Oryctolagus cuniculus: one gene and its partners. The protein of the gene in region 1 purifies or fractionates together with the protein of each later gene. This does not show direct contact. Links are inferred from orthologs where the notes say so. Each region holds a gene or a part of one and is shown on either strand. Other genes may lie near its edges.

Evidence for each region. Proteins that work in one complex are often made in the same cells at the same time.
Region 2: the proteins of PRPF19 (region 1) and PRPF3 fractionate together in Homo sapiens (co-fractionation; 3 studies listed by BioGRID, with this or other methods). This does not show direct contact. The link is inferred for Oryctolagus cuniculus from reciprocal best matches to the Homo sapiens genes PRPF19 and PRPF3.
Region 3: the proteins of PRPF19 (region 1) and KNSTRN purify together in Homo sapiens (affinity purification with mass spectrometry; 4 studies listed by BioGRID and IntAct, counting the BioPlex papers as one, with this or other methods). This does not show direct contact. The link is inferred for Oryctolagus cuniculus from reciprocal best matches to the Homo sapiens genes PRPF19 and KNSTRN.

What each region holds. Positions count from the first base shown.
Region 1 is NC_091432.1:11,685,763-11,689,888, reverse strand, and holds the start of PRPF19 (pre-mRNA-processing factor 19), read right to left. Parts: upstream 2,833-4,126; 5' UTR 2,610-2,832; coding exon 2,591-2,609; intron 880-2,590; coding exon 730-879; intron 621-729; coding exon 544-620; intron 1-543. UniProt on the Homo sapiens protein: Ubiquitin-protein ligase which is a core component of several complexes mainly involved pre-mRNA splicing and DNA repair. Required for pre-mRNA splicing as component of the spliceosome.
Region 2 is NC_091438.1:47,647,413-47,651,014, forward strand, and holds part of PRPF3 (U4/U6 small nuclear ribonucleoprotein Prp3), read right to left. Parts: intron 3,563-3,602; coding exon 3,416-3,562; intron 713-3,415; coding exon 629-712; intron 456-628; coding exon 235-455; intron 1-234. UniProt on the Homo sapiens protein: Plays a role in pre-mRNA splicing as component of the U4/U6-U5 tri-snRNP complex that is involved in spliceosome assembly, and as component of the precatalytic spliceosome (spliceosome B complex).
Region 3 is NC_091443.1:63,572,816-63,576,417, reverse strand, and holds part of KNSTRN (small kinetochore-associated protein), read right to left. Parts: intron 2,829-3,602; coding exon 2,723-2,828; intron 2,497-2,722; coding exon 2,403-2,496; intron 1,826-2,402; coding exon of another isoform or gene 1,752-1,825; exon of another isoform or gene 1,690-1,751; intron 491-1,689; exon of another isoform or gene 385-490; intron 239-384; coding exon 183-238; intron 1-182. UniProt on the Homo sapiens protein: Essential component of the mitotic spindle required for faithful chromosome segregation and progression into anaphase.

The DNA of each region.
Region 1 (4,126 bases):
GCCAAGTGCTGGGCACACACACACGAGTGGCAGCCAGCTCTTTCCCATCACCATACTCTTTAATTTACTGGTCAGTCATGGACGTCACACTGTTGTCTCTCTAAAGGAGATAATGCTACTGCTGTGGATTGACCACCTTCATCGTGTGAGACAACGTGCCCATCCCAAGATGCACGCACGCATTCCTTCACTCGCTGGGATTTACCGAGTACCTACCATGTCCCAGACACTGCTCTCGGTGCTGGCAAAACACTGATGAAAAAAAGTACTCCCCTGATGTCACTAAGTGGACACTCTAGTTTTATTCTACGCCTCAGAAACTCTAAGCCAGGCACCAATCTATGTGATACAGTCAGGAAAATCAGGGCTCAGAGCAATAAATCCAGTCACACTGCTCATGAGCGAGAGAGAGAAGCGTGGGATCCAGGTTGTGTGACTTCACCACCAAGCTCCCCCTGTGCTGCCTTCCCCCACCCCACGTCCTAGTCCAGGGATATACTCTCTCTGAGTGGGGGAGACATCAGCTTTCTCCCAGGAACTTACCCACTCATCCTGCAAGGCTTTCAGGATGGCTGGGATGCTGGTGGCTGAGGGGGGCTTGGGCCGGATTGGGTGGGCAACTGCCAAGAGAGGAAAGTCAGGTGTGAAAACCTGTAACCCAGGCAACCCCCCTACCCCAACCTCAGGTTCTGAGCCAAGAGGCCCACACTGAGGCCGACCAACGGGTACCTTTGATGTCGATGAGCTGCTCCTCGGAGAGAGGCTGGTTGTTAATGGGGTCTGTACCATTCTCAGCAATGTACTTCTCTATGAGCCGCCGCTCGTAGACGTGATTAGAGACGGGGGACACGCACGGGTGTTCTGGCACTTCATTGGAGACTGCAGAGAAAGGCAGGCAGTAGGCTTGGGATGAAAGACAATCTGGGGCCGAGGGGATTCCTAACTGCCACCAGCCCAACAAGTCCCCACATCCACTCAACTCAGGGGAAGCACATGATGCCAAGGCAGCTTTAGGCTAGCCCCTAAATGTTCTCCAGCTACCTATGTGGCTTCTCCATTGGTCTCTCGAAAGCCTGGGTGGTCAAAAATTAACTACTACACAGCTCCTATGCACTGGGCACCCAGAATGCAGTCAATAAGCCCTGCCATCTCATTTTCAACAGGTAGTTGGGGACCCACACCAGAGAGTTACTCTCCACACCCTGGAGAGCGTGTGAAGCCATTCAGGCAGCTGCCATCCACCTCAGTCACAACCCTAACTGGATCAGGAGACACAGGGACTACACAGCAGCATGACAGACACCAGGGTACCAGAACCATTTACACGGTGCTCACTCCGTGCCGGCCAGGATGCTAAGCACTTCACACAGGTGCACCTGTCCCCCCAACAACCTCCAAGCAGTTCTCATACACATTCTTGCCCTGGGAGACAGTGCCCCCCTGAAGGGCAGTGAGCACAGCCCGTCTGGTACTTCAGTCCAACGCAGACGCCCTGCAGCACCCAACAAATCGGGTGGATGAGTGCAGGCTCGGGCCGGGGCTCAGGAGGGGGCACCTCCAGGTGTGGCAGTCCGGCATGGGCAACACTTTGGACTAACCAGAAGCAGGCTGAGGCTCAGTGTCTCTTGCCCCCTCTCTCTCTGCACCCCCAACCCAAGCGTGGTGGCAATGGAGGTATCGCTGAATTCCTTATCTATCCCAACACAGGCTCTCCAAGAGAAATACATGGATCACGGATGCGTCCTCTGGAATCTCATCACTCAGGGGAGACTGGCTCACGTCGGGAGAGGCCGAAGGTCTCCGGGCAGAGGAGGTCACTTAATCTCTTCAAGGCAGCTCTGCGACACTGTTCACTATGACTGCCTGGGCCTAGTCGTCTGCACCAGACAATAATCGGTCCGCTGTCAGTCTGGCCCCATCAACCAGCTCTCGCGGGCACTGGCTGTGCCCCTCCACAGGAGCCCCACTCCTCCCGAGCCCTACAGTCCCATTTGTACGCCTCCCGCAGGGAATTCCTGCGAGGACAAAACGAGATCGTGGGCTTGGAAGCGTGCTGTAAACCAATGTGTGTGCTCTTTTTATCAGTCATGCACAGCGCGCGGCTGGGAGCCGGACACCTGGCTTCCAGCCCCGTCGGCCTCTCGCTCCCTGCGTGACCTTCGCAAACTGCAGAGGCTCCAACTATCCGTGCGAGACCTCCGACGAGACCCAACGCAATGCTCTCAGTCTCGCAGACGGGGAAACTGAGGCCCAGCGTCTCGCGCCACATCGCAAGGCCGATCGAAGGCTGCTGCTGGACAAATCCTCAGGTTTCCTGGCTCCTACACCACGGCGGCTTCCCCTGCACCAGCTCCTCTGCCCAGGCCTGCCCAGTGGGCCCAAGTGACCCCTGCGACAATAAACCTGAGGTGATAAGTAAACTGCGCCAACACTGCGCCAAATACACGCCGCCGTAAGGGGCAGAGCACCCCGTGCTGACAGGCGGCCCGTTCCCGCCTCCGCCCGACCCCGGCGCCGCAGCGGCCTGCACACTAGCCCTCTCCTCTCTCCCGCCTCCTGCGACCTGAGATCGCCAGCGGCCAGTACTCACTAGAGCAGATCAGGGACATGGCGCCGACGCAGCGCTCTGAGGCGCCTTACTCAGGGCTCCGGGTCTACCTTCGGCGCCTCTGCGGGCTACTTCCGGTTCCCCCGCTGCTTCCGGACGCTCCGCGGTAAGCAGGGAGCTACCCCGCGGAGCGATGCCCGCGTAGCGTTTCACGTGGGAGTGTGGCCGGTCGCGCGCCTCAGCCTTCAGCACCTAACGGAAACTGCCCTTTCCCAGAATGCAACGGCACAGGAAAGAGCCCGCCCCGGGACAATCGGCTGTCTCCGGATTCACTCGGCTTCTTCCGTGAAGCCTTCAGGGGCGGGGCAAGCAGCGGAGAGGCGATCCGAAACTACACTTCCCATAGTGCAATGGGAACTTAAAGGGCTAGTCGTTCTGTACTGAGCTATTGGAATGCAGTCTTTCGAATCTCATGTAGATTTCTCGGGTCTGCCTTAGAAAGTCTGAAAGTGCCTCACGTAATTCTGAGGCAGGTGTTTTCTGGGCTGCCCTTTGAGAGACACTGCTGGCCGACCTGGTGAAGAAAGCACAGGGAGAGGAACACTGTCCAAGAAATTGAAGGCCCTACTCCTACCACAGTTTGCTCGGTGGTCTTAGACAAGTTGCCGGCTTCACCGCCCCTTCGTCCTTCTAGGTCCCTTGCAGTTCGGATAGTGTCTGGTTCTTCGTGGGGATCAGTAAAATGGGATATTCTCGAGATTCACGTAGGGAAGCAGACAAAGGTGTAGGACGGACAGGTGTGGTCAGCGAAGACTTCTGCGCTGGACTTCCGCAGGTGGGCATTGTCAGAGAAGAAGGAGAATGGAGTATTCTAGAAGGGGCAACAGCGTGAGCACAGGCTTGGGGAGAAGAATTAATGGCGGAGGGGGCAAGAGCGTGGACTCGACAGTCAAACTGTGCCCAAATGCCAGCTCCACACAGGTGGTCCACGGTACGGACTCTACGCCTCTGTTTCTTCGGCTGTAAATAGAGGAAGTGATAACCAGGGTATGTTTCTTTTCTTCCTGATTTTATATTTTTACTGAAAAGGGTATATTTAACATGAAGACCACAGAGGCTTCTGCTCTGCACCCTGACGGACCAGGTCAGATGGAAGCCCTTACGATGAGGCTGTTCATGTTGCCAAACCCAAACTGAATTGTTATCTGATCTTTCAAGCAGTTACTAAACCGAGATAACAGCTATGTTCCCTAAACAACCCAGTGTGGTCCCTAAACAGGGCAAGTTCCCTAAGCAGGCATAATGACGGTTCTGATAAGCTCTCTGCTTTAATCCTTACAAACAGTGACCTGAAGTCATCTGGTGCTGATGAATCCATCATTTTTTACCTTATTCAGTCTCCCTGTCCCCGCCCTCCAAGGAAAGTGGGTTACCAATTCACATTTTGTTCTTTCTGTTTTGTTTTCAACTCCATGAAGCCAACCTCCTCTGCCCAAACCCTTGGACACTTCCTTTGTTCTGTTGGTGGGAGTGTTGCCTGACTCTAATGGAAATCAAAGCCAATTAAGATCTTTAAGT
Region 2 (3,602 bases), on another chromosome or scaffold:
AGAGACCCAGTTCTACTCCTACCTCCAATACTAGATGAATAATCTTAATCTCAGTTCTTTCAATTATATAAGGAAAACAAGAGAAGAAGTTCAACTGATACTTATCATTCATATATAAGAAAAAGGACATTATAAATAGGATTTAGATTCTTTGGAATAAGAGGATCAGTAACACTCCAAGGTATTTATTACTTCTCCGGCTTTAGAATGAAAAGGATTCCAGGAGATACTCACGGGGGAGCAATGCCCATGGCATGGAGATTAGCCAGGCCCACCATGTTAGCATTGCCAATGAGACCTGGCTTAAGTGCCAGCTGGGCTTGGATTCGAGCTTGTAGTTCAGCTGCTTTCCTTGCCTTCTCAATGGCATCATTCATGAAAGTGGCAGCCTGGGAGGGCTGAATAGTGTTGCCAATTGGAAGTCGCTCTGGTTGGGAGGAAGAAGGAGTCTTTGGCTGTGAGACAGAGAAAAAGCAATCAGAGGGACTGAGACAAGCAGACAGTTACACACAACACACATCATGGGTGGCAGACTGGGGTAGATGACCACGGAGTGAAACGTGAGCTCCTTCTGAACTGGCAAGAAACTCTGTGTTAAAGATTCTTCTTCTTAATCAGGGCACAGTACCTGAGGTGTAGGGGGGCTAATAAAGCTCAGCTGTTTTTTTCTTTCTTCGATTTGTCTTGTCGCTGCCTCCATCATCTGTTTGATCTGTTCTCCAGGGGAAAAAGAATTAAAAAAACATTAATTTCTCCCAAGCAGGCTCCAAAGCCCATAAAGCTTTCAAATCTAGAAACTTAAAACTTTCTGAGTGACTCCACCCTATTTTGCCTGCATCACAGATTAGAAAATTTAGTAAAGATAATCTTAAATAGCTGAGCATTATAGATGTTCAACCCATTTTCCTAAGGCAAGACTGGCATGTTAGGTAGTAATATAGCTTTGTGATTAAGACTCTGCATGAGGGAGGGGAGAGAGGGAGGTGCTGGCCCTGTGGCACAGTGAGTTAAGCTGCTGCCTGCAGCACAACATCCCATATGGGCACTCACCGGCTCTACTTCCAATCTAGCTCCCTGCTTATGTGCCTGGGAGAGCAGTGGAGGATGGCCCAAGTGCTTGGACCCTTGCACCCATGTGAGAAACCGGGAAGAAGCTCTTGGTTCCTGGCTTTGGCCTGGCCCAGCCCCGGCTGTTGCAGCTATTTGGGGATTGAACCAGCAGATTAAAGCTGTCTTTTCTTTTCTCTCTGTTACTCTGCCTTTCAAATTAAAAAAAAAAAAAAAAAAAAAAGACTCTGCAAGGCCACTGTTGCAGCACAGCAGGTTAAGCTGTCATCTGCAATGCCAGCATCCTATACCTCAGTGCTGGAAAAACAGCTGGAGTCCCAGCTACTCTGCTTCTGAGTCAACTCCCTGCTAATGTGCCTGGGAAAGCAGTAGAAGATGGCCCAAGTGCTTGGGTCCCTGCCATCCATGTGGGAGACCTGGATGGAATTCCAGGCTCCTGGAACACAGATGATGGTGCAAAGAGCTGTCCCTCAGTGTCTCAATAAACCCCTTCTTCTGTCCTAAAGAAGTTCAGAATGATAAACTTTGAGGGTATGGGCTAATAACTCTTTTCACATTTTCTAAAAACCTACTCTCAAGGTACTTCAAGGTCTTTTTTAAATTTTGTTTTTAACTTTTTTTATTAGGTGATATACTTATATATGAGGTGGCTTCAAGAAGTTAGTAGAAAATGGAATTAAGGGGCCAGCAATGTGTGGCATAGTAGGTAAAGCCTCCACCTGCAGTGCTGGCATCCCATATGGGTGCTGATTCAAGTCCCACTGCTCCTCTTCTGATCCAGCTCTCCGCTGTGGCCTGGGAAAGCAATAGAAGATGGACCAAGTGCTTGAGCCCCTGCACCCATGTGGGAGACCTGGAAGAAACTCCTGGCTCCGGATCAGCGCAGCTCTGGCCATTGTGGCCATTTGGGGAGTGAACCAGTGTATGGAAGACTTTTCTCTCTGTCTCTCCCTCTCTCCGTCTATAACTCTACCTCTCAAATAAATAAAATCTTAAAAAGAAAATGGAATTAAAAGGTAAGTTTGTTTAGGTGCAAAAACACTTTTGAAATCCATGCTCAAGATTTTTTTTTCATAATACGAAGTTTCAATGAACTTTCTGAAGACAATTCACTGTTTAAAATTCGAAGTTACAAAAGGGTATATTGTGAATCCTCCCATCCCCATTCTCCATAAAACACATCATCAATTTCACTTTTTCCAGAAATATCACACATGAATACAAATCTATCCATCCGTGTGTATCTGTGTATTCTATTCCCTCCCTCAAAATTTTATTACATTTTTTTTGAAAGAGTTACACAGAGAGAGAGGGAGAGACAGAGACAGGTCTTCTATCCACTGTTTCACTCCCCAAGTGGCTGCAATGGCCAGGGCTGAGCAAGTCCAAAGCCGGGAGCCAGGACCTTTGTTCAGGTCTCCCGCGTAAGTGGCAAGGGCCCAAGCACTTGGGCTATCTTCTGCTACTTTTCCCAGGCCATTAGCAGGGAGCTGGATCAGAAGTGGCACAGCTGGGACATGAAGCAGTGCCCCTTCTGGGCAACAGCTTTACAACACTGGCCTCCCTCAAAATTTTAAATGGTACAAGAAATATTTATTGCTTATGTAGTATCAAAATTGTTCAACAGTGCCTATTTAAAAAACAGGTACTTCTTGCTGAAGAAATACAAACTCAATTTGACATTACTTACAGATTAATACCTTCTTTGAGTTATAGTTGGAAATTCTTCTCTACCATCAACCTTTTTTTTTTTTTTTTTTTTTGACAGGCAGAGTGGACAGTGAGAGAGACAGAGAGAAAAAGGTCTTCCTTTTTGCCGTTGGTTCACCCTCCAATGGCTGCTGTGGCTGGCGCACCATGCTGATCTGAAGCCAGGAGCCAGGTGCTTCTCCTGGTCTCCCATGGGGTGCAGGGCCCAAGCACCTGGACCATCCTCCACTGCCTTCACGGGCCACAGCAGAGAGCTGGCCTGGAAGAGGGGCAACCGGGACAGAATCCGGCGCCCCGACCAGGACTAGAACCCGGTGTGCCGGCGCCGCAAGGCGGAGGATTAGCCTAGTGAGCCACGGCGCCGGCCTAACCTGAGTTTTGAGAACTTAGTTTTCTCAATGACAAAATGAGGTAGATATATGCCACATATCTTGTTTGCCACACAGTAGGCAATTTCAATAACCCTTAACTAGAATATTCCTGGTTAAACCAAGGAATGCTAAAACATAAAGCAGCAAATAAAAATCCCCCAAGTGATAATCACTAATTTGAAACAAGATCACAGTAAATAGGAACCCATGCAACTTTTGCTTCTTCAACTTACAAACTCACTTTGCTCTAGGCCCTAGTTACCCACCTGGAGCTTGGTCAGCATGCCAGGGCTCTCTGATGGAGGCCCAGGGATCACCTCCGGCTCTTCTTCCACCTCCTCAAAGCGGGGTATTCGTCGCTTCTTTACTCCTGAGGATTCCTTGGAGATCTCAGAGTCATCACCAAACACCTCCTAAGGGAAGCCAAATGACAGAAGAGTTGTATCCCTCCCC
Region 3 (3,602 bases), on another chromosome or scaffold:
ACTGGTAAGCACAAAGCTACCTCTAAAGTAAAATATGCTATATTGAGTACATGTCTGGTCGTTCTCTCCTATCGGGGACAATCAAAGATTACTTCTGAGGATTGCTGTGCACATGGGGGAGACTTTGAGACTCCCAGAGGCCCAGAATCCCTCGGCCTGACCCATTCACACCCAACCCTCACCATAGAGTCTGTGTGATCCGTGGCGGGGGTCTGCTGTGGCACCAGGGTCTCACCGCCTAAAACCAATGGGTATGACAGTCAGCCTCATTTAGCACACTTACTTTAAACAAAAGAAAGCAGAGGCCCCACCAGGGACAGAAGGGCTTTTATTCATGAGGGAAATTAAGTGTCCAGTCCTAGACGTTCTCTCCCGCGTTCTCACCCTGGTAGGGTCACCCACGCCATTCACAGCTGCTGCACTTCCCCCGTGTCTCTAGATTTCAGTATGCCAAAAAAATCACTCTACTCTCCTTATCCCAGCTGAAAATCTGTACAAAGAAAATGTAGTTTTTTGTTTACAGTATAAAAACTACCTTTAAAAAATATTATGATCTATTTATTTGCAATGAGACAGAGAAACACACAGACAGAGCTCCAGAAATGCCCGCGATGGCTAGAGATGGGCTGGGCTGGGCCGGAGCAATCCAGGTCTCCCATGTGACTGGCAAGAACCCAATTACTTAAGCAAACCTGGGCATTCCGATGTGGGATACAGGTGTCTTAACTGCTGGGCTAAACCCTTACCCTACAAAACTGTTTTTAAAAGCCTTTCAAGCCTTAAAAAATTGTTGTTTTTCGTTAACAGTGTGTGCACACAGTTAACTTAAATCATCAAAATGTTTACAGTTACTGCAAAGAATATCCTAAACCTGTAACCCACAGGTTAATCACAGTCAGCATTTTTTATTATAAATTAAAAAAATACATTTATTTGAGAAGCAGAAAGAGTGAGACAGACAGAGCTCCCATCATTGGTCTAATCATTCCATGTCTCCCATGAGGTGACAGGAACCCAACTACATGAGCCATCACTGTTGTTTCCCAGGGTCTGCATTAGCAGGAAGCTGGAGTCAGAAGCCTGGGCCACAGCAGGCATCTTTTTTTTCTTTTTTTTTTTTTTTTTTTTTTTTTTTTTTTTTTTTTGACAGGCAGAGTGGACAGTGAGAGAGAGAGAGACAGAGAGAAAGGTCTTCCTTTTGCCGTTGGTTCACCCTCCAATGGCCGCCGCGGCCGGCGCGCTGCGGCCGGCGCACCGCGCTGATCCGATGGCAGGAGCCAGGATCCAGGTGCTTTTCCTGGTCTCCCATGGGGTGCAGGGCCCAAGCACCTGGGCCATCCTCCACTGCACTCCCTGGCCACAGCAGAGGGCTGGCCTGGAAGAGGGGCAACCGGGACAGAATCCGGCTCCCCGACCGGGACTAGAACCCGGTGTGCCGGCGCCGCTAGGCGGAGGATTAGCCTAGTGAGCCGCGGCGCCGGCCTACAGCAGGCATCTTAACTGTTGGGCTCAACATTCGCCTCAGACTTGGCATTCTTCAATTCCACGAGGCCTCAGCCCTTTTCTGGCCATTCTGTGGCTCCTCTTGCACTCTTTGGGCAACTCCTTTTTCCGGTCTCTTCTTTGCTAAACTCTGCTGTCCAGGGACAGGGTCAGAACTTGAGTCCCATGTCAACCACAGAATCTGCTGGATTCTGTGACTAGCTAGGTTCAGGACCCCTTGCAAAAGTATTCTCCTTTACCTCTTGCCATCAAGGAGTCACCAGCATGCTGTTATCTCCCATGAAAGGAGCAAAATATTTCTGGTCTGTTTGCAACTTTAAACCTGTTGGCACCAAATGAATGGCATAAAGAGTTTAGATAAGAAAGAGATAGGGGCCAGCACTTGGCACAGCACCTATTCCATATGGGTGCAGGTTCAATCCTGGCTGGTCCACTTCCAATCCAGCTTCTTGATGATGTGCCTGAGACAGTAGTAGAAGAAGACCCAAGTCCTTGGGCCCCTGCACCCACGTGGGAGACCTGGAAGAAACTCCTGGCTTCTTCATGGTCAGCTCTAGCCATTGTGGCCATTTGGGGAATGAACTGGCAGATGGAAGACCTTATCTCTCTGACTCTCCAACCCGCCCCCCCCCCCCCCCCCGCCAACCCCCGTAACTCTGCCTTTCAAATAAAGAAAAGAAAGAAGAGAAAGAAAGATGTTTCTGTCTTCAGTCATTTGAAATTCTGTCGGGCAGGCCAAATGAACACTGTATGGAAACAAACAGAAGCTCTCAAAGCACTTTAGTGCTTTGTCATGCAACCTTTGCCCTGCCTGGACCAGCTGATGCCACACTGCTAGTCAGCTCAGGAAGGTGGACCTGTGCTGTTCTCTTTGAAGGCAGCTGTGTGTGTTCTCTTACCTGGGTTAAGGCCCTTGCTCTCCAAAATTGCCAAACAGTTGTCCTGAAACTTCTCTAGAAGCTCTACCTTCTGGGTCAGGTCCTTCAGCTCTCCCTGTGGTGGTGGCGCACAGTCAGTCGGGAACCCTCCCAGACTCCACGAGTAGACAGCCTTCCTCCCCCTTGCTCCTGGACAGCGCCAGCACGAGCCTGGCTGCTTCTCTCTGTGCGGTCAGGCAGTCAGGCACTGCAAGCCTGCTCCTCCCCAGAGCGCCATCCCTCAAGACCGCACACGCAGTGCCCAGTGGCAGCTAGTGACAGAGGTGTGGTGGGCTTCTCACCTGAGTTTCTGTCAACTTCTGGTGCAACTGCTTGTTGACGGCCTCTAAGAGCTGGTTCTTGTCTTTGAGCTCTTCCTCTGATTTCTGCTTACCCAGTGGTTTATAACTGCAACAGGTGTATTTACATGGAGGGGGACTGAATGTACGCTATGGAGTTACACAAACAGGGTTCCCCACATCATAGTGGATGATCTACAGTGAGCTGCCCAACCTCCCTAAGGCTCTGTTTCCCCATTTCTAAAATAGGATAATATTCGCAGTTCATATTATTATAAGAGGGACTGGCGCTGTGGCATAGTGGGTAAAACTGCCACCTGCAGTGCCGGCATCCCATATGGGTGATGTTTTTGAGTCTGGGCTGCTCCACTTCCAATCCAGCTCTCTGCTATGGCCTGGGAAAGCAGTGGAAGACGGCCCAAGTCCTTGGGCCCCTGCACCCATGTGGGAGACCTGGAAGAAGCTCCTGGCTTCGGATCGGCCCAGCTCCTGCCGTTGTGGTCATTTGGGGAGTGAACCAGCGGATGGAAGACCTCTCTTTCTCTCTCTGCTTCTCCTTCTGTGTAACTCTGACTATCAAATAAATAAATCTTTAAAAAATAAGGGAGATAACATGAATGATCCAGAACCTGCCTACTGGTCCACAATGAATATTTCATAAGTAGCCATTACCATCATCAATATTCAAAACTTCTTTTTGAAATTCTCAGTCTCCCTTCCCCCTCCATATTTGTCAATTATTTATCAAAAGAAACTATTCCTCAGGCATGTAATATCATGTTTCACTGTTCAGGAACACAGGTCAGTGACAAACTTCTACAGAACTTAAACTCTTTCCAGGGCCGGCACCATGGCTCACTTGATTAATCCTCCGCCTGTGGCG